2 linked regions of the Ovis aries genome follow. The protein of the gene in region 2 purifies or fractionates together with the protein of the main gene of each other region. This does not show direct contact. Links are inferred from orthologs where the notes say so. Each region holds a gene or a part of one and is shown on either strand. Other genes may lie near its edges. The genes, in order: PFN1 and VASP.

Region 1 (9,042 bases), on a different chromosome or scaffold from region 2:
ATTGGCTCTGGGGTTGCAAGACAGGGATGGTTTATACTGGATTGTCCAGATTTCTTCTAAGACTGATGCATCCACTCCCTTTCACCAGATAGTTCGTTGCATCCAGCATAGGAAACGGCTCCAGCGGAATCGACTGACCAAAGAGCAGCTGAAACAGATCCCTACACATGACTATCAGAAGGGTGAGGAGGGTTAGAGGAGCAGGCCTTTCCCACCACTTACCTGGTTCTGATGGAGTTGAAGCCCAGGAGATAAGGGGCAGAGATGGCAGGGAGATGTCAGTTTGAGATGCCATCTTTCCTTTTTAAAGCCGTACATAAAAGGACAGAACAGGTTTAGAGCAGGAGATGGAAAACAAAGATGATTAAATGGAATAGTTGGGGGGAGGGGGAAAGATGGAGGACCTTTCTCGTAAGAGAGAAGGTGGATGAAGCAGAAAAATAGGAGCGGGGAAGATGCTGCCAGAGAAGGCAGGCACAGGTAAGAAGGGGCTGGGTCTTCAGGCCTGGAGCCTCCAATGCCCTTATAAGGCTATGGCAGAAGCCCCGCCCCACTTCCTCTCCTCCCACTCACTATCTCTCCACTAACACTAACCCCCAGAAAACCCACTTCCCTTCTTACCTCTGCTTCTCTTTGCTTGTGCCTTCTAACCCCAGATTCCTCATGTTCCACCCTGCTCATCTTAGCTCTTCCTCTGGCTCTTTAGAGATAGAAAAATATCTTGCAGGTTTAGCACAGGCCTCCCAGAGTGACTTCCTGTGGGCCCTGGTTTAGAATGGTTCTGTAAAAACTTTCTTCTTCCACTAGGAGACCAGTATGATGTGTGTGCCATCTGCCTGGATGAATATGAGGATGGGGACAAGCTGAGGGTACTCCCCTGTGCTCACGGTGAGGCCCTCACTTCCTGTGCCCATGTCCCCAGGCCCCTAGCAGGCATCAGGTGCTTTACCTCATTCCTCTTGGCAGCTTATCACAGCCGCTGTGTGGACCCCTGGCTCACTCAAACCCGGAAGACCTGCCCCATCTGCAAGCAGCCTGTGCATCGGGGTCCTGGGGATGATGAGCAGGAGGAAGAAACCCAGGGACAAGAGGGTGATGAGGAAGGGGAGCCAAGGGACCAGCCTGCCTCAGAACGGACCCCTCTTCTGGGCTCCAGCCCCACACCTCCCTCCTCCTTTGGCTCTCTAGCTCCAGCACCCCTTGTCTTTCCTGGGTCTTCAACAGACCCCTCACCCTCTACCTCTTCAGCTGCCATCCTGGTTTAATACTCCCTTCCGCACCACCTCTGATGACCTGTTTGCACAGCCCCTCTTGCTCTCTCCAGTCTTCTAGTTTTGAGGGATAGGAAATACTTCCACCCCAGATTTCTCCCCTTACCCAGCTCCATCCTTTTGAAGGGGTTCGGGGTACAAAGGGACAGGGTCTTCACTTACTGGGTTAATAAAACTGTTTTTGTGGACTAAGGAAGGGTGAGATCATTCTCACACAGGGAAATGTATTATCTTTTGGGGAACTGCCCCTTTCTACCATACAGGGGTGTGCGGGGAGGGGAGGCTAACCTGCCGTCTTGGGGACAGCCCCAGTAGGCATCTGTTGTGACTCAGAGAGGGAGAGCCCCACCCACACATGAAGATGACTCAACTGGCTCTGCCTTGCCCACAGGCCTGGACCCATTCTCTGGTCTGGATGGCTCTGTTCCATTATCCACCAATTCATCTAGCTAGCACACTGGGAACCTAGGGCTGGATATGTTATTGGAGAAGGCCTGGCCAATCTGGCCAGGTGTTTAATCCTGGACATGAAAGCAAGAAGCTCAAAATCTTAGACTTTGTATTTCCTAAACTCTCCTGCCGCTTCTAACCCCAAGCCAGGATAAAGGAGACAGGTCACAAGAGCTGTCTTCCATCCTGACACCCAGGCTAAAACCACACAGCACCTTGTTAGTAGAATCTTTTTTATTCAGAAAAAAAACCCAAAAAACAAAAAAGTTTTCCAACCACACACAGGAGGGGTACGGGTTGGGGGCAGGGGATGTCTGTCCATCCAGCCCAGGCCCCCAGCCCATGTGGTTTTGGCAGCAATAAGGGGTGTGGGGTAATGGCCCAAAAAATAAAAATGGTGTATGTATGTGTGTGGGAAGGAGAGGGGTGCAAAAGCAGTGGGGAGTGGTGAGGGGAGGGCCAGACGAGGTCAGTACTGGGAACGCCGCAGGTGAGAAGCCATTTCATAACATTTCTTGTTGATCATACCGCCGTGGACACCTTCTTTGCCCATCAGCAGGACTAGCGCTGGAGGAAAGAGAAAGGAGGCTAGGACCCAGGTGTCACCACCCCACCCCCTGCCAGCTGTTCAGCAGCTGTCCAACCCTGGGGGCTGTAACCCAACCTCATCTCTCCCAACCCCCCACACACAGGCAGGCTGTCAGTCACCCTGAAACAATAGGTCTTTTCAAAAGGGGAAAATCAAGCTTAAAGGCTGGAAAGGAGCACAGTAAAATTTAGGGGTCAAAGGCTCCTGGACTGTTGACTCATGTGTTCAGGCTAGAAATGGCTGTGGATGAGCCGGCCACCTCCAAGTTTTCACAAAAGAGCTCAAAAGACAAGAGCAGAATGCTGACTTACAATGAACCTTTTACCTCCTCCAAGAAAACAGGGAGTTTCTCCTCTGAAAATGCTCAAGGTAAGAAGCAACTTAAGAGGTAATACAGTTCAACTTCTCTACACCGTATGGTGAGGCGTATGGTGAGGCACTGAGACAGAACTAGAGGAACAATTCGATGCCCCAGCATCCAGCAGGCTGGGAGTAGAAACCTGGTTTGATCCTTTCATACTAAGTGACCACACAGAAGAACCCAAAAGATTAACAAAAGGAGGTACGTTAGGGATTTTGGAGCTAGAGAATGGGTAAGAACTCACTCTTGGCAGTCATGGTGACAGTGATATTGAAAGTTGGGGCTCCACCGGTGCTCTTGGTACGAAGATCCATGGTAAATTCTCCATCCTGCAGCAGTGAGTCCCGGATCACAGAACATTTCTGGCCCCCAAGCGTTAGCCCATTCACGAAAAAACTTGACCGGTCTTTGCCAACCAGGATACCGACCTCAGCAGGCTGAAAAGGGAACCAAGCACCCAGCAAGTTAGTCAATACACCAAAGTTCTCACCTGTCTTCCATTTCTCAAGGAAGCTAAGCCCCCTGGGGTGAAAGGTGTATGTTATGTGCTTTGTACACATTCGTGAAATTTGAGAAACTCAGGATTGTTGGAAGTGCACAAAAATATGATCTTGAAACCTAGAGAATGGTACTAGGAAGGGACAACATGGTCCTCTGACTCAGATGTCGATTTAGATGTCGTTTAATAGGGAAAGCAAACCCAGTAAATAAATGGGGCCAAAAACCAGTTAAGAGAATGGAGTGGAGAGCCTTGGATGCTCAGAACTCTCCTTCAGGAAAAGCAGAAGCGAAGAGGGGAAGGGAGGGGGCGGGCAAAGCAGGAGAAGCAACTTTGCCCTTATTTGGTCAAAGGTTCTGCAGGAGTTGTTAGGGGCCCGGACGCCTGGGTCTCTAAGTAACTTAGAGTTTAGGTTCAGGTATCTATGCTCTAAGATGAGCAAGCAGATGCCTTGGGGCATTCAGCGAAAGTCGAAGAACTTTTGGAGGGGGCCTGGGGCTAGACCCGACAGCCAGCTCTCGGGTCTAGATACCCCGGGGAACGTATCTTCCCCTCCCCCTTACACCCCAAATCCCCACATCCGGTCCCCTCCCGCCCGGAAATCCCCTTCCCCCCCTTTCGAACTTCCGCTCCCCCTCCCCACTTCCGGGCAGTGTGGACAGGGGAGTTGGTGATGGGGACAGCAGCAGTCATCCCTTCTTCCTTCACTTATACTGTCCTAGAACTTCTCACAAAGTTCCCCTGCTCCAGGCCCTGCCTGATGGCGGGAAGGGAAGGCGAGGGGACTCCCGGGACTGGTCTCTCAAGAATGCTGAGTCCGACCGGCCGACTGGCGGGGAGGGGGTCGTCGTGTGGCGCCCTAGCCCTCTCTAATGGAGTTGGGAGGGGCAGGGAACCCACGGAGATCGGGCTAGGGACCCAGGCCATGCGACTGGGGCTCCCTCCCGGTTCAGAGGAACAATAGTGGAAGGGGCGCGAGCTGGCGGCCGGAAGTGGAGCTAGGGGTCCCGGGGTCCCCAAGTCCCTGCTCAATCAAAATCCTGGGTAGAAACTACGGCGCGTGCCCGACCCGCCCTGGAGGAGGCGGAAGTGGGCCGCCGCACCGGGCGGCGCACCCTCCCCGCCCCGTGCCCCGGATGTAACGCCCCGTCGCGGAAAGCGGGGCGGCGGGCGGGTTGGGCGCCGCCGCCCGGGGCGGAGGATTCAGGGGGCCATGGAGGGGCCCGCTCACGTGCAGCCGCCATTCGCGCCACTTCCAGGGCAAGGACCGGGTCACGGCCTTTCGCCGCCCTCCGCAGACCGCGCCCGCCCCCACCCGAGTCCCTCCCTCAGGGTCCAAGCCGGGCCAGTCCCCAGGACTGTGCAGGCCTCTCAGTACCGTGATGTTGACGAAGGTCTTGCCGGGGACGGCGGCCCAGACGGAGGGCGAGTCCTTATAGCCCACGATGGCTGCGTCCTGACAGGTCCCGTCCGCCATGAGGTTGTCGATGTAGGCGTTCCACCCGGCCATGGCGCTGCTATTGGGGCTGCTCTCGGGGCTGCTGCTGGGGCCGCGGGCTGGGCTCGGGCTGGCGGGCGGGGGAAGACGGAGAGCTTGGGGCACGCGCTGCCGTCCGGACCGCGGCTCTGCTAGCTGTGCAGCAGCCCTCGCACCGCCACTTCCTGCTCCTCCCCACCCCCCTAGATTTTTATTTGCAAAGGGCGGTGGGGGCGGGGCTTGCTCCCCACTCCCTCTCTCCCTCCCCTCTCCTGCCCAGATACCGAACTTTGCAAATGCATTTTAAAAAATCCCTCCCCCTATTGCAAAATTTGCAGAGTTCGATGGAAAGCGAGGCAAAAAGAATCGGGGTGGGTGGGGATGGGTTAAGGTTAGGGCCCGCTCCACTCCGCCTAAACTATCAGACTTTAGTGGAAGGAAAGGTAGTGAGCCACAGGGAAGAAGGAAAGTGAAAGAAGTAAGAATTAGCAAACTGCAAATTTAGCAAATTAAAGAGGATTCGGGTAACTCAGGGTTAAACAGAACGACTCCCCCTTCCCCCACCTCTGCCGGGGGCAGGAACGGCGGGCGGCGGCGGGGCGCGTGCGCCCGCGCCTGCGCCGGGGCCGAGAGGGAAAGCGCGTGGGGCGGTTAGGGCAGACGGCGGGCTTCGCGGGCGCGCGCCCGGGCGCGCCAAGCGGGACTGATTTGGACCCTCGGTGAGGGCAGGCAGGCCGGGGACGTGTCTCCCGCCGGGCGGAAGGGGCGGAGGCGAGGCGTGGCGTGTGCCTGGCCGCTTCTGCCCTCTTGATTTTATTTATTCAAGAAATAAGGTAGTAAAAGGAAATTAGACCAAATACCCCCGGCCGTCTTCAGAATTGAAGGCACCCACCAGGGACACTTCTGTCCCCAGCATCTGCCCGGGCGGCACAAGCGGTACTCACTGGAGCCCACCTCGACTCCAGGGGGTTGTGACTCACTGGATCGGCTCCAGCCTCATTCCTCACTCCACGTCCCAGCCCTGCCCGAACCCCGGTCAGCAGTTTGGGTCACCGGCTGTGCCCCTTGGCCCGTGTCTGCAGAGGTCATTGAGCACCGTGGGGCCAGACGGGCGGGCCTATTTTCCAAGGCGGAAGAATACTAAGCGGTTTCTCAAGATTGCAACTTTTTCAAGAGGAGGAAAGTCCCTTCAACTTTGCCCTTTTGGGTTTTTCTTGTTCTTTTTCAGTAAAACTTAAGCTAAGAACTTGTGTGCGATGAGTTCGCTGGCTATCCACCGGGAAGCGGGTGGGGCAGGACCTGGAGTCCGGCTTAGGTGACTCTAGCTCGCGCTGGCCGCCGGGGCCGCTGAGGGGCTAGGCCGCTTCCGGTCCCTCGGGGGAGGGGCGGCTCCCGGGCGCGAAGGGGCTTCGTTTCCCTCCTGTCCTCCGTAGCGGGCGCGGCCACTCGGAACCCACGGAGCACCCGACGCCCCCCGAACCAGTGTTCCTCGACAGCCGCCGCGGCTGAGTCACTGGCCAACTCGGGCGGGGCCGCAGGCGGGCACGTGGCGGCGCTCCCCGCCCGCCATCCTGACCTCTGGCCTACCGCACCCCCTACCCCAGGGTGGAAATCTCCCGAGAGGGAGCGGCCAGAGATAAGGGGGTGGGGGGTGGCGAGAAGGCTGGGAGACACACCGCGGGGCAGGGCGGGGAGGGGAGCTCGGGAGAGAGCTTGGGGGTGAGTCACCGGGCGCCGGCCGCTCAGGCGCCGGCAGGCTAGGTCTCCTGAGTCCGGGGCGAAGAGCCGAGAAGCCGGTGACCCTCGCCCGCCGGCCGGCCAGCCGGCTTGAAACCCGCATGCCCTCCGCTCCTGGCCGGAGCTGCAGCCAAAGTCAGGGCTGACTTTACTTGCGCCGCACCCACTGAGACGGAGAGAGTCACAGACTGCAGAGACCCACTTCCCCGCCGTGCTAGAGGCCCACCCGATTGGCCCCCGGCGGTCAGACGCTCAGAAAGGGGCACTTCACCTTCTGTCCATTCATTTTTTGGGGGGTCACTTTTGATTCAGCACCATTCATTGATGGGCTGGGATCACGCCCTAAAGCGCCAGCAGTCGCGATCGGTGGAGAAAGGGCTTCTGACTGACAGCTTCCACGCCGGCGATAAGTGCTGTCCCAGCGCTATCAGCAGGGCGCCGCGCCAACTCCTAGGGCCTGTCTAAATTCGTCTGTCTCCCCCCCTCCCCCACTCCCCTCGCCGGCCTGGAGAGGGTAGGATGGGGTGGAGCGGAGAGAGACCGCCATGAGGACCCTGAGAGGTGAGACCCTCTCGCCTTCTGAGTGGGCAGTTCAATTTAGAGCTCTGCTCTCGGCCGGAACCCCCTCCCCAGCTCCCATTGAGGACAGAGGCAGTCCCCCGCCCGCCAAGTGAGCTATGGATGTCACTCCTGCAGCCCCTTTTCCAGGCCCCCTCCCCAGCCCTGTAGGGCTCAGGTTACCCTTGGCCTTTCCTAAAGGGCACTAGTTCCTCTTTAACCTTTGCAAAAGAGGAATACAATCCTGACACGGGGAGAGACCCCTCCCCCCAATTCTGAAGCCCCTCTCCTCTTTCTGCCCAGGAACGGAATTAAAAATAAGGACTTTTATTGGAGAACAGAGAAAGGAGGGGATAGTCATTGACCTTTTGGGAAGGGGGCAGGTGCCTAGGGCCAAAAGCTGCTGCTTTAGGCTGTAGTGGGCACTTGGCTGCCAGCCTGGCTTCAGGGGGAGGATGGAGAGGGGGAGAGGCGGGGCTGGCTGGGGTACAGGGTGGCTCCAGGATAAATTCCCGGCCTGAGAGGGGGTGAGCTGACACTGTCCCAGCTGCCACCTAGACTTAGAGCCCAGCGAAGACATCCCAGGTCTGGTGAATCTTCCAGCCCCAGGGGATGGGGGTGGTAAAGGATGAGGGCTGTGCTGGCCTGGGGGAAATGTCAGCTTGTGCTTAAGAATCCTGGAGGAGTTGGAGCATACAGGATGGGGGTACCCAAGGATAGGAAAACGAGACTGTGAAGAGAGGCATACAGAGATGACGGAGAAGGGGAGTTAGAGTTGGAGCCAGGTGGTGGAATTTGGGCCCCCTGAGGATTTGGAGAAGGCTGAGGAGCAGGAAAAGTGAGGTAGAGTAACAGGAGAGGCTTTAAAGGCTAGGAAGCCATGGAAAACAGAGTATTTGGCCAGGGGGTGGAGGGAGAAGGCATAGTGCAGCTTTGTGGGAGATGGGGTTCAGCAAGTGGTGGAGTTTTAAAAGAGAGGCCCCATATTCTGAGGATGGGAGGGTGGAATAGGAGCTGTTCTGAGTGGGGGAGGGGGCTGTGCCTGCCACTTTGGTCTGTGACCTTTTTGTGAGGTATTTTTAGCTCCAGCACCTGCCTCCTTGGGGTGGGGAAGACTCTTAAAGGGCAAGGGATTTGGGGTTCCTTAAGGGATCAGCTGTCCACACTTACTCACACCTCTCACCCTGCAGCCATGGCCATGCAGAAAATCTTTGCCCGGGAAATCCTGGACTCCAGGGGCAACCCCACTGTGGAGGTGGACCTGCACACGGCCAAGGGTAACCCAGGGCTATTGAACTGGTTTACCTGGGAAGACCCCCAACTCCATCTGCCTTTGCCCCCCAGCTGCATGCCACATCCACTCTTTTCTCTGGAATCCCCTTCTCCAGACTTCTCCCCAAGCCTTGCTCTTCCAGCTTGACTCCGCCCCCCCCACCCCACAGTGAGGAGCCATGGTCTCTCTACACTGCCCCCTGTCTCTGGGTTCCAAGAGGAGACCTCGGCCCTTTGGAGGTGAATGGGATTCTCTGTGATCTTCCAATTCCTCCCATCCCAGGCCGATTCCGAGCAGCTGTGCCCAGTGGCGCTTCCACAGGTATCTATGAAGCTCTGGAACTAAGAGATGGAGACAAGTCTCGCTACCTGGGGAAAGGTGAGGAAAGACCAAGGCTGGAGGAGCCATATGTGAGGGGGGCTTTCAGGATGTGGCATGAAATGTCTGCATAAGGTAGAGAAGGGGTCCCCAAACTCCAGGGCACGGACTGGTACCTCTTGTCAGATCACTGGCAACATTAGATTAGAAATAAAGTGCACAATAAGTAGAATGCACTTGGATCATATGGAAACCATCCCATACCCCTACCCCATGCCTGGTCCATGCAAAAACTGTCTTCCATGAAATTGGTCCCTGGTGCCAAAAAGGTTGGGCATCGGAAGAAGAAGGGAAACTGAAAGTTCTCCAGGAGCTGGGGGCCTCGGGAAGAGACCTGATTGCATAGGAGATCTGAACCCCCTGCTTTGCGGCCTCTCCAGGGGTCCTGAAAGCTGTGGAACACATCAACAAGACCCTCGGCCCCGCGCTGCTGGAAAAGGCAAGTAGAA
Region 2 (8,453 bases):
GGAGACAGAGGGAAGGGAGGGAGGTCCCTGGGGTAGGGGGAGGCACCCCCAGCCTGGTGGGACAACCCTCCTTACACAGCTGTCCCAAATGGGACAAGCCAGGGACACAGCATTTAAAAACTCCCACACCCCATTTTATCAAAACCAAAGAGAAAAAAAAATTTTCCTCCCCCCACAACAAACCTAAATATATATATATATATATACTTTTTTTTCTTAAAAAACAAAACTTCAAAGGCATTAAGCGTTAAAGTGAATCTACAAGGGAATGTGAAATTCCCTCCTTCCTTCCCCCTTACTGTGGGGTTACTTGGTACATCCCCAGCAGAGGAACCAGCCCCAAGGGGATGGCAGAGGGGAAGGATCAAAGGGAACAAAGGGTGGGGGCTTCCCCAGCCAATCAGCAGCCAATATGGGTGTGGGCACGGTGCTGGGGAAGCCACACCCCTTGGAATTTTCCAAGTGACATAGGGAGTGGGGACGATGCATTCCTGTGTAGACTTCAGCCAATTCCAAGTCGAGGCAGGGAAAGCAGGGTGACAGGTGGAGGGGGTATGCAGAAAGGAGAAACTGGATTTTCTGGGGCCCTGTGGTCAGGGGGCACCCCGCTTCCTCAGCTCCTGGACAAAGGCTGGAAGGAAACAGTGGGCAGAGGTCAGGGGCAGAGCCTCTTCCCCTTCTCCCTTCCAAAACAAGGTTCCAAGGGACACCATGCCTCCAAAATAAATAAATGCTTAAAAAGGAAAACACCTCACCTTCAATTATTTCCTCTTTCACTTTCTGCAATTCCTTCCTCACCTCTTCCAGAAGCTCCTGAAAATGATGGGGGTACAACCAATGAGGAAGAGTACCTGGACTTGCAGAAGTGAATCCCCAGTTTCTTAATGACTGAGGGGCCAGAGGAAGGAGGGTCAAGACCCGTATCGCACACACACCATGACATCACTGGCCAGGCCACAAAGTGACTGAGATTTCTAGAGGAGAATTCTGGATCCTCTGAACCAGAGAGAAAAGCAATGGAGAACATCCAGTACCAGGGCTGGCAAATGAGACATTCCAGTCTCCTGCCAACTCCGGTTGGCGATAAATGTCTGCGGCCAGTGTGCGGAAAAGGATTCTGGATATTCACCAGGAATGAGTGTAGTGATGTTAGCAAGGTCTGTCATGGGCGTTGTACAAGGCGGTTATGGGGTCTGTCATCCCTGACACGATCCAATTTCTCCAGTACTCAGACTGGGAAGCTGAGGGTTCCAAGGCCTTTTCTAGAATCACATAGCAGGTCAGTGGCAGAGTCTAGACCCAGATCTTTCTATCCCCTAACCCTCACCCCCAGTCCCCTCCCCTACCTGTTTCACCCTCTCCAGGTCTGACTCATCACTGGAGCTAGGCGTAGGTGGGTGGGCCTCGGAAGTGGCCACTGAAGACGACGACTTCATCCTGGGAGAGGTGGCGTGGTGTGGGGCAGAAACAAGGTTAGAGAGAGGGTCTGCCTCCCCTGCCTCCCATTCCAGGGGTCACTCTGTGTTCCTCCCTACAAACTTGGCAAGTCCGACTCTTTCTAGGGGTGGGGCCCCAGTACTGATGGCCCACCTTGGCAAGGTTGTGCTGTTCTTCTCCCAGGGTCTCCGCACAGATTCTGGGGGACAGACAATAAGTCAAAAAGATCAGGAACAAGGAATGCCCTGCCTCAGCCTTTCTTCCCGAGCCTCATCAACCCCCATTCAAAGAACCATCTCAGGAGACTACAATCCCCAGGATTATCTGTACAGACTCTCCCATGAAGGTGTGTTATACATGAGAAGAGGGCATCCTGGGACTTGTAGTTCCTGTGACTAGAGGGGGCTCTCACTCACTCACCACTGTGGGCTGGGACTCTGGCGTCTGACTCCTCCTGCTGGTGGGAAATAAAACTGTCATGAGCCAGACATGGCCATTCTGCTCCTTTTCTTCCTCCACCTTCAAACACAGCCAATCCCTATCACAGCCCCCGCCCCAATATTCCTACTCTAATGGTACATCCTAAGGTGTATAAGGCAGGAAGGGTCCCTAACTCACATTGGCAGATTCATCCTTGGTGGGTTTCTCTCCAACTTGCGTGGCTTTCCTTCTGTGAGAGAGAAAGGCAGAAACAGATGGCTTCTGTCCCCTCTCAGCCACTCAATAGTTCCCTTCCCCAGAGTTCTGGAAAAGTGGGTCCTAGGGTGCCGACTTCTGGAATTCATCAAGGCTAAGCACATTTTAATTTTAGAAGTCAAAGAGAGTGCTGTTCTCGAATGAGGGGGTGGGGGTGGCGTTTAGGATTCCTACATTTGGGAATCACAAAATTCTCAGGGCAGAGTCCCCAGCTTCTGAGGTGGGGTCATCTAAGGTCCTACAATTCTGGGTTCCAGAACATTCCAGAGGCTACCTAGGGGGTTGCAAACCTCAGTCATCTCAGGAGAATGCAGTCCCCATCATTATATCTCAAACCTGGCTGTCAAAGGATGAACTTTCACCCAACGAAACAAACTAACCAGGAATCTGAGCCCTCCCCACACCTGGTCCTACTGAACCGGAATCTCCAGGTGATAACTGCTGGGTTGAGGGGTTTGTTTTGAGAGCTTTCCAAGACCATTGAGAGCTCTGAGCTCGGGCTCACCTCCGGGCCAGCATGGCGTTCATCTCCTCCATGAGGCCTCCGCCCGTGCTTCGACTGCTCTCAGCTTTGGGGGCCACGGGCCCCGCTGAAGCCTCCTCCTGCTGGAGAAATTACAGAGAAGAGAGGGCTTTACGGGCGGGCCTCCCAGCCCTCCTGTGAGGCTCCCAGGCAACTCTAGCCTCATTCCATTATTATATCAGACCCGTCACCCCACATCCGCTGCGCCTGCCCCTCACCTTGCTAACTTTCCTGAGTTTGGCGCCGGCAATGGCTGAGGCCAGGCTGGGGGCCCCGGTCCCTCCACCACTGGGGCCTTGTGCTGTGGGGAGAGGGGGTGCCGGGGGCGGGCCTCCCCCTGCTCCCTGTGTGGCGGCCGAGACCCCTGAGGAGGAGAGACCAGGGGGTGGGGGTGGACCTGGAGGAGGGGGAGGTCCCGGGGGCGGTGGAGGTGCCCCAGCTGGGGGAGCAGGCGGGCCTCCTGTAAGGAACACAAAACAGGAGGGGTGCTGAGAGAGAAGCTTCATGCTTTGCTGTCCGGCTGGCCCACCCCCTCCTCTGGGGCGGTCCCCTGACCCCCCGAGGCCATTTGAGCAATCACCTGCGTTGGAGGCTCTGCGCTCCCGCTCCATGAGCTCTGACTGCTGCTGCCTGGGGAGGGAGGGCGAGTGGCTATCACCCAGGGCTCCCAGGTGGCCAGCAACCTCCCGGATTGCCCCTCAGAGGTGTCCGGCAGGGCTGGTTCCTAAGCCCCACTCATGTCCTCTATCCCCGAGGGACCCGGGAAAGGGCTGGGGGGTGGGGTGGTGAGGGCAGGGACAGGGCAAGACCGGGATGGGAGCGATCCAGTCATCAGACCATCATGAATCACAAAACGCCCAAGATCCTTTAAACAACCCCGTTCTGGACTCTGCAAGTCCAGGGGACTGGGATTGGGATTTGAAGGGTTCTGTAACTCTGGGCATCAGGAGTTTTTCAAACTCCAAGGCGGGGAGGGTGGTTCTTAAGGCTGTGGATTTCTAGTCCCCTGGGAGTTGGAACATTCTGAAAATTGAAAGTTGGACAGGTCTGAACTCTAGGCGTCAAGGGTTTTGGAACCACCTAGAACTCTGGCTGGGGGAAGGTTTCCCACCCGGGGACCAGCCCCACCTTTTCTGCTGCTCCATCTCCTCTGGCGAGGGGCCATTCTGGGCAGACCAGGTGGGAGGCGCTGTAGGTGGTGGTGGGGGCGGGGGCCCACCTCCTGGAAGTGAGAGTAAAGGCTAGTGAGTCACACAGAAGCCAGCCCCACCCCTTGGCACGCTCCCGAGGGGCCTCCGGGTACCCTGTGAGGAGGGTTGGCTCCCGCTTCCCCTGACTGAGCTGACAGGTGGTGGGCACTGGAAGGATACCCAGATCACAGGCAGGACAGCGAAGGCCCATAGAAGGGGGTCACCCACCCCAAGGCCTGCAGATGGGAATTGGCAGGGACAAGACTTGAATTCAGGCAGATTCCAGAATCCAGGCTCTTAACGCACAGTCACAGCTGCTCAGACCCCCTACCTGAGAGCTCAGAAGAGGCTGACAGCCCCCTCCTCACCCAGCCTCAGGCCTCCGGCTCCCGTTATTTCTTGTGCTTCAGACTGCCACTGCAGTTGCCCTTGGAAGCAAATGCCTCCACCATTTGACAACTGGCGAACCTAGACGCACAGCCGTCACCTAAAACCGTTGCTCCTCAAAGTGCTCCTTATGGACCGGTCAGCTCTGGCATCATCAGGGAGCTTGTTGGGAAGCACAGAGGCTCCGGTCTTGGCCCACCTACCTGATTCAGAATCTGCATTTTTTCTTAGATGACTCGCAGGCACATTCCAGTTTAAGAAATACCAACTGGAAGTATTTTCTTAACATTGTGGCTTGAAAACTGACTGACAATGATGTCAGTCAGTCTAATGGTTACCTGGAGAAAGGGCAAAGGAAACCTCCCGGAGGCCTGAAATATTTCTATCTTGATCTGGGAGGTGGTCACAAAGGAGTGCGCAAGTGTAAAAATTCACGGAGCCAAATGGGCTCTTAGGAACCATGCGTTTGACACGTGGGTGCACGCAGGGCAAAGAGGAGCCCACAAAATTGGGTTGGCGAAAAAAACCTATTTGGATTTCTCCGTAGCATTGGAAAAACCTGAATGAGCTTTCCGGCCAGCCCAGAAACTCTCCGTAGCAGCAGTGAATGGGCCCTGTTTTCAGATGAGTATACTGAGGCCGAGTGGTAAAGGGGCAGCCCCAGGCCCCACGGCAGGGCTCAACGGTCCCCTCCGCCCACTGTCTCTAACCTTCCAAGGCCTCTAGGGCGCTGGCCATGCCATTGGCAAACTGCGTGGCATCCTCCTTGCTGCCAAAGTTGAGGCCCCAGACTTGCCGGGCATCGCGCCACTGGTGGAAGTTGGGGGTGGCTTGGTTATACTTGACACCTCGGACGATGGCACAGTTGATGACCACCTGGCGGGAGGCAGGGAGGGGAGAAGTGGATGGGGGTGGTGAGGCCCCGCAGGCAGAGGGGGCGAGGAGGAGGGGAGCCTCACCTGCTGGTCCGGCTGCATCTTGCGGCCGACCACCCGGAAGGAGTTGGCGGTGGGGTTGTGATAGATCTGGACGCGGCTGAAGGCCTGCGGGCCCGTGCCGGCGGGCAGCCAGCGCTTGTTGCTGTCATCATAGAGCATCACCGTGGCCCGGCTGGTGCACACAACCGTCTCGCTGCAGAGAGGCGGGCGGGGGCAAGGGGGAGAGGCCAGTTAGCTCTGGGGAGCCTGGCATCCTCCCCCCAGGGGCCGGTCACCTTCTCGTTCCCCTGGGAGATTCACAGACACAAAGTCAGTGTGCCAGGAAGAGGGACCCAAGGAGAGGAAGAGGAAGACAGACCGAGAGAGAGGGCTGAGGACAGGCCCTCAGAGAGACCCAGACAGGGAGACTGGAGAAGAAAAAGACGGGTGGGACGACAAAAGACAGACTGGGAGAGACAGACAAATAGACAAACCGGGGGATGTGAGACAGACAAGGAAAGAGACAGACAGTCAAACGGGGAGCAAGAGACAGGAAGAGGACGAGTCAGACCGGCTGGAAGAGGCAAACATACAGACTGATGACGGGGAGAGAGGTAAGAAAGGGGGTCAGATTGTTACAGGGGAGGCGGACTGAGATGGACCGAGAGACAGAGATGTGGCGTGAGAGCTGATGGGGGGGGGCCCGGGAGAAGCGGATGCAAGGGACAGAGCAGGTGTCCTGGGCAGCATTGGGAACAAGCCCCTGCCCGATGCCCTTGGAGCCTCAGTTTCCCTGTCTCTGCCAGGAGGCTTGGACCTTCCTGCCCCGACTCCCCACTGTGGAGGGAGGAAGCTGAGGCTCAGGGAGGTGAAGGGTGAGGCTTGCAGCAAGTTGGGGACCGATGCAAGATCCCAGGCTCTTCCCCTTCCTGCTGCCCACCCCATCCATCCGGCACCACCCACCCTCCCCCGCCCCCTGGCACCAACGGCCATCAGCAGACACTCCCTGCTCTGTGTCCAGCAGTGACCCAGACAGCCCCAGCCCCCACCCTGCAGGGCAGGAGAGCATCGCAAGGGACTGTCCTGTCCGCACATGGTGATAATCCAAGACCAGGCCTGGGGCTGCCCAGGAGGGCCTGCCCCAGCCTTTGGATCAGAGAAGATTTCCTGGAGGAGGTGACATCTGACTTAGCCCTGTGGGGAGGGGGCTGAGTAACGCAGCTCAGGGTTCAGGATCTGATATCCTCAGACGTAGGTTCAAATCCCCGCTGGGCCACCTACTCCATGTGACTCAGGCGAGCAACCTTCCCACAGAAGGCATCTTCTTTGCCCGCAAACTGGGGAAATGACAGACCCCACCTCCCAGGGCAGTGGGAGAAGTAAATGAGTCTGGGCATGTAGAGTGCTTGGCGTGGTGCCTGGCATGAGTGCTGAGTAACTGTCAGCATCCCTTCCCCAAGCACTCTGAACAGGCACCAAGGAGCCCTCCTCCACCCCTCACCAGTCCTTCTGGGAAGGTTCAATGCCCTCCTCTCTCAGTGGGGAAATTCAGGCTCCCAGACGGGAAGTGACTTGGCCAAGGTCACCCACAAACCAGGGGGAAGCACTAGTCCCTGCCCAGCCCCACCCCCACCGGACTTTTTCCTGAAAAGAGGAAGTTGGTGGTCAGAGGTTTCTGGGGAGAGAAATTACACCCCGCAATGGCTCTGTCTCTACCAGGGCTGGGGGCTGGAGCGTGACAGTGACACTATAAAAGACAAGGCAGGGAAAGCCCCCTCAGCTGACCCAGATCCGAGTTCTTAGGCCAGGGAGCTAAGCCCCCAGGTTTGCATAATTAGGGGGCCTCCCTCTGCCCTTTCTCTGGAGTCTCACATTTTATTCTCACTGCAGCTCTTCCAGGTGGGCTGTTTCATCCTCATTCTGCAAGGACTGCAAACAGTGGCACAGAGAGGTTGTGTGACTCACCTAGCAGAGCGAGGATCTGAACCCAGGCCACCTGGCCCCCAAGTCCACTGTCTTCACCACTGGGGACTGTGTGGGCCCTACCCAAACACCAGGTGCTGGTTCTAGACAAGCGTAGCCTCAGGGGCTGTTTCTGGCTTCCACTGCCCCCGGCAGGGCAGGGTTAAGGCCTCGCCCACACCTGCCACCCACACCCAGGGCAGACTCTGGCCAGCTGCCCAGGGCCTTCGTTGCTACCCCACCCTAGCTGCACTTTGCTCTTTCCAAGAGCCCCTGCCCTGCTCAGTCTCTGGACTAGCCTGAGCTCTGGGTGTTTGGTGAGTAACCCCGGACTGGTCTTGTCCCTCTCCAAGCCACGGTATCCCCATTCTAGCAAAAGGGTCCTGTTGAAACACAAGTCAGATCGCGTCTCTCCTCTTCTTGGAAGCTCCGCTGGCAGCTCCCAGCAGAGTTTTTATTCTGGCCAAGTTCTCTCTGGGGCCTTCATAATCTGTATGATCTCTGATCTCCCCTCGACCGGCCCCACCGGCCATTCTAGCCAACACTTCAGCATGCCAGACACATTCCCACCTCAGGGCTGTGCTCTCGTTCTCCCTCAACCTGGATTTTCACCTCCTTCAGGCCTCTGCGTAGCCATCACCTCTTCCGAGGAGCCCTCCCTGACTACCCTACCTGGGAAAGCTCTCACTGCAAACACCGTTGGGTGTTTCATAACACCCAATCCCTGACTGACAGGGCCTTATCTGTCTCCCCCATCAAACTGTCAGGACCACAAGGGCAGGGATTTTTGCCTTTTCTGTTCACTACTGTGTTCTCAGAACCTAGACTCGTGCCTAGAACCTAGCAGGTATCCAGGAGTTGTTAAATTAGCCGTCTATAAAAAAAGGTTTTTTTTTTTTAACAGCCGCTGACATGTATTGGTTAGTCTGTGTCCCAGACACCGTTCCAGGTACTGAGCTCCAGCTGCCACAGCGAACCTTACTGTGAACACCCTTTTTCCAGACAAGGAACTGTGGCCACAGAGGGGTGAAGACAGTCATCCCAGGTCACAGAGCAAACAAGCAGAGGGGCTCATATTTGAACCCAAGTCCTGATCTTCCCCACCCCCAATGTTCTTAACCTCATTTAACGATGAGGAAATAGCTAAGCTGATTTTTTTTTTTTTAAGGCAAGGTATAAAGTGGTGTGAGAGGTTTTTGTTTTTTTTTTTTAAAAAAAAGCTGGGGAGGATATAAATACCTCTGCACCCAGAGTGGTGAAAAGCAGAGGTTGCTTCTCAGGGGACTAGCCTCCCCTGCTTGCCTCTGAGGCACTGGGACACCAGGGGTCTGACGAGGAAGG

What was found.
Region 1: the proteins of VASP (region 2) and PFN1 purify together in Homo sapiens (affinity purification with western blotting; 3 studies listed by BioGRID and IntAct, with this or other methods). This does not show direct contact. The link is inferred for Ovis aries from reciprocal best matches to the Homo sapiens genes VASP and PFN1.

What each region holds. Positions count from the first base shown.
Region 1 is NC_056064.1:26,320,933-26,329,974, reverse strand, and holds PFN1 (profilin-1), read right to left. Parts: upstream 4,835-9,042; 5' UTR 4,681-4,834; coding exon 4,549-4,680; intron 3,109-4,548; coding exon 2,916-3,108; intron 2,289-2,915; coding exon 2,191-2,288; 3' UTR 1,938-2,190; downstream 1-1,937. Other genes in the region: E3 ubiquitin-protein ligase RNF167, read left to right, coding at 89-182, 808-888, 967-1,265; ENO3 (beta-enolase), read left to right, coding at 6,930-6,945, 8,133-8,219, 8,498-8,593, 8,974-9,032. UniProt on the Homo sapiens protein: Binds to actin and affects the structure of the cytoskeleton. At high concentrations, profilin prevents the polymerization of actin, whereas it enhances it at low concentrations. By binding to PIP2, it inhibits the formation of IP3 and DG.
Region 2 is NC_056067.1:52,896,278-52,904,730, reverse strand, and holds part of VASP (vasodilator-stimulated phosphoprotein), read right to left. Parts: intron 5,365-8,453; coding exon 5,193-5,364; intron 5,110-5,192; coding exon 4,944-5,109; intron 3,879-4,943; coding exon 3,785-3,878; intron 3,287-3,784; coding exon 3,237-3,286; intron 3,117-3,236; coding exon 2,875-3,116; intron 2,740-2,874; coding exon 2,639-2,739; intron 2,108-2,638; coding exon 2,056-2,107; intron 1,895-2,055; coding exon 1,858-1,894; intron 1,637-1,857; coding exon 1,591-1,636; intron 1,438-1,590; coding exon 1,347-1,437; intron 814-1,346; coding exon 756-813; intron 632-755; coding exon 594-631; 3' UTR 1-593. UniProt on the Homo sapiens protein: Ena/VASP proteins are actin-associated proteins involved in a range of processes dependent on cytoskeleton remodeling and cell polarity such as axon guidance, lamellipodial and filopodial dynamics, platelet activation and cell migration.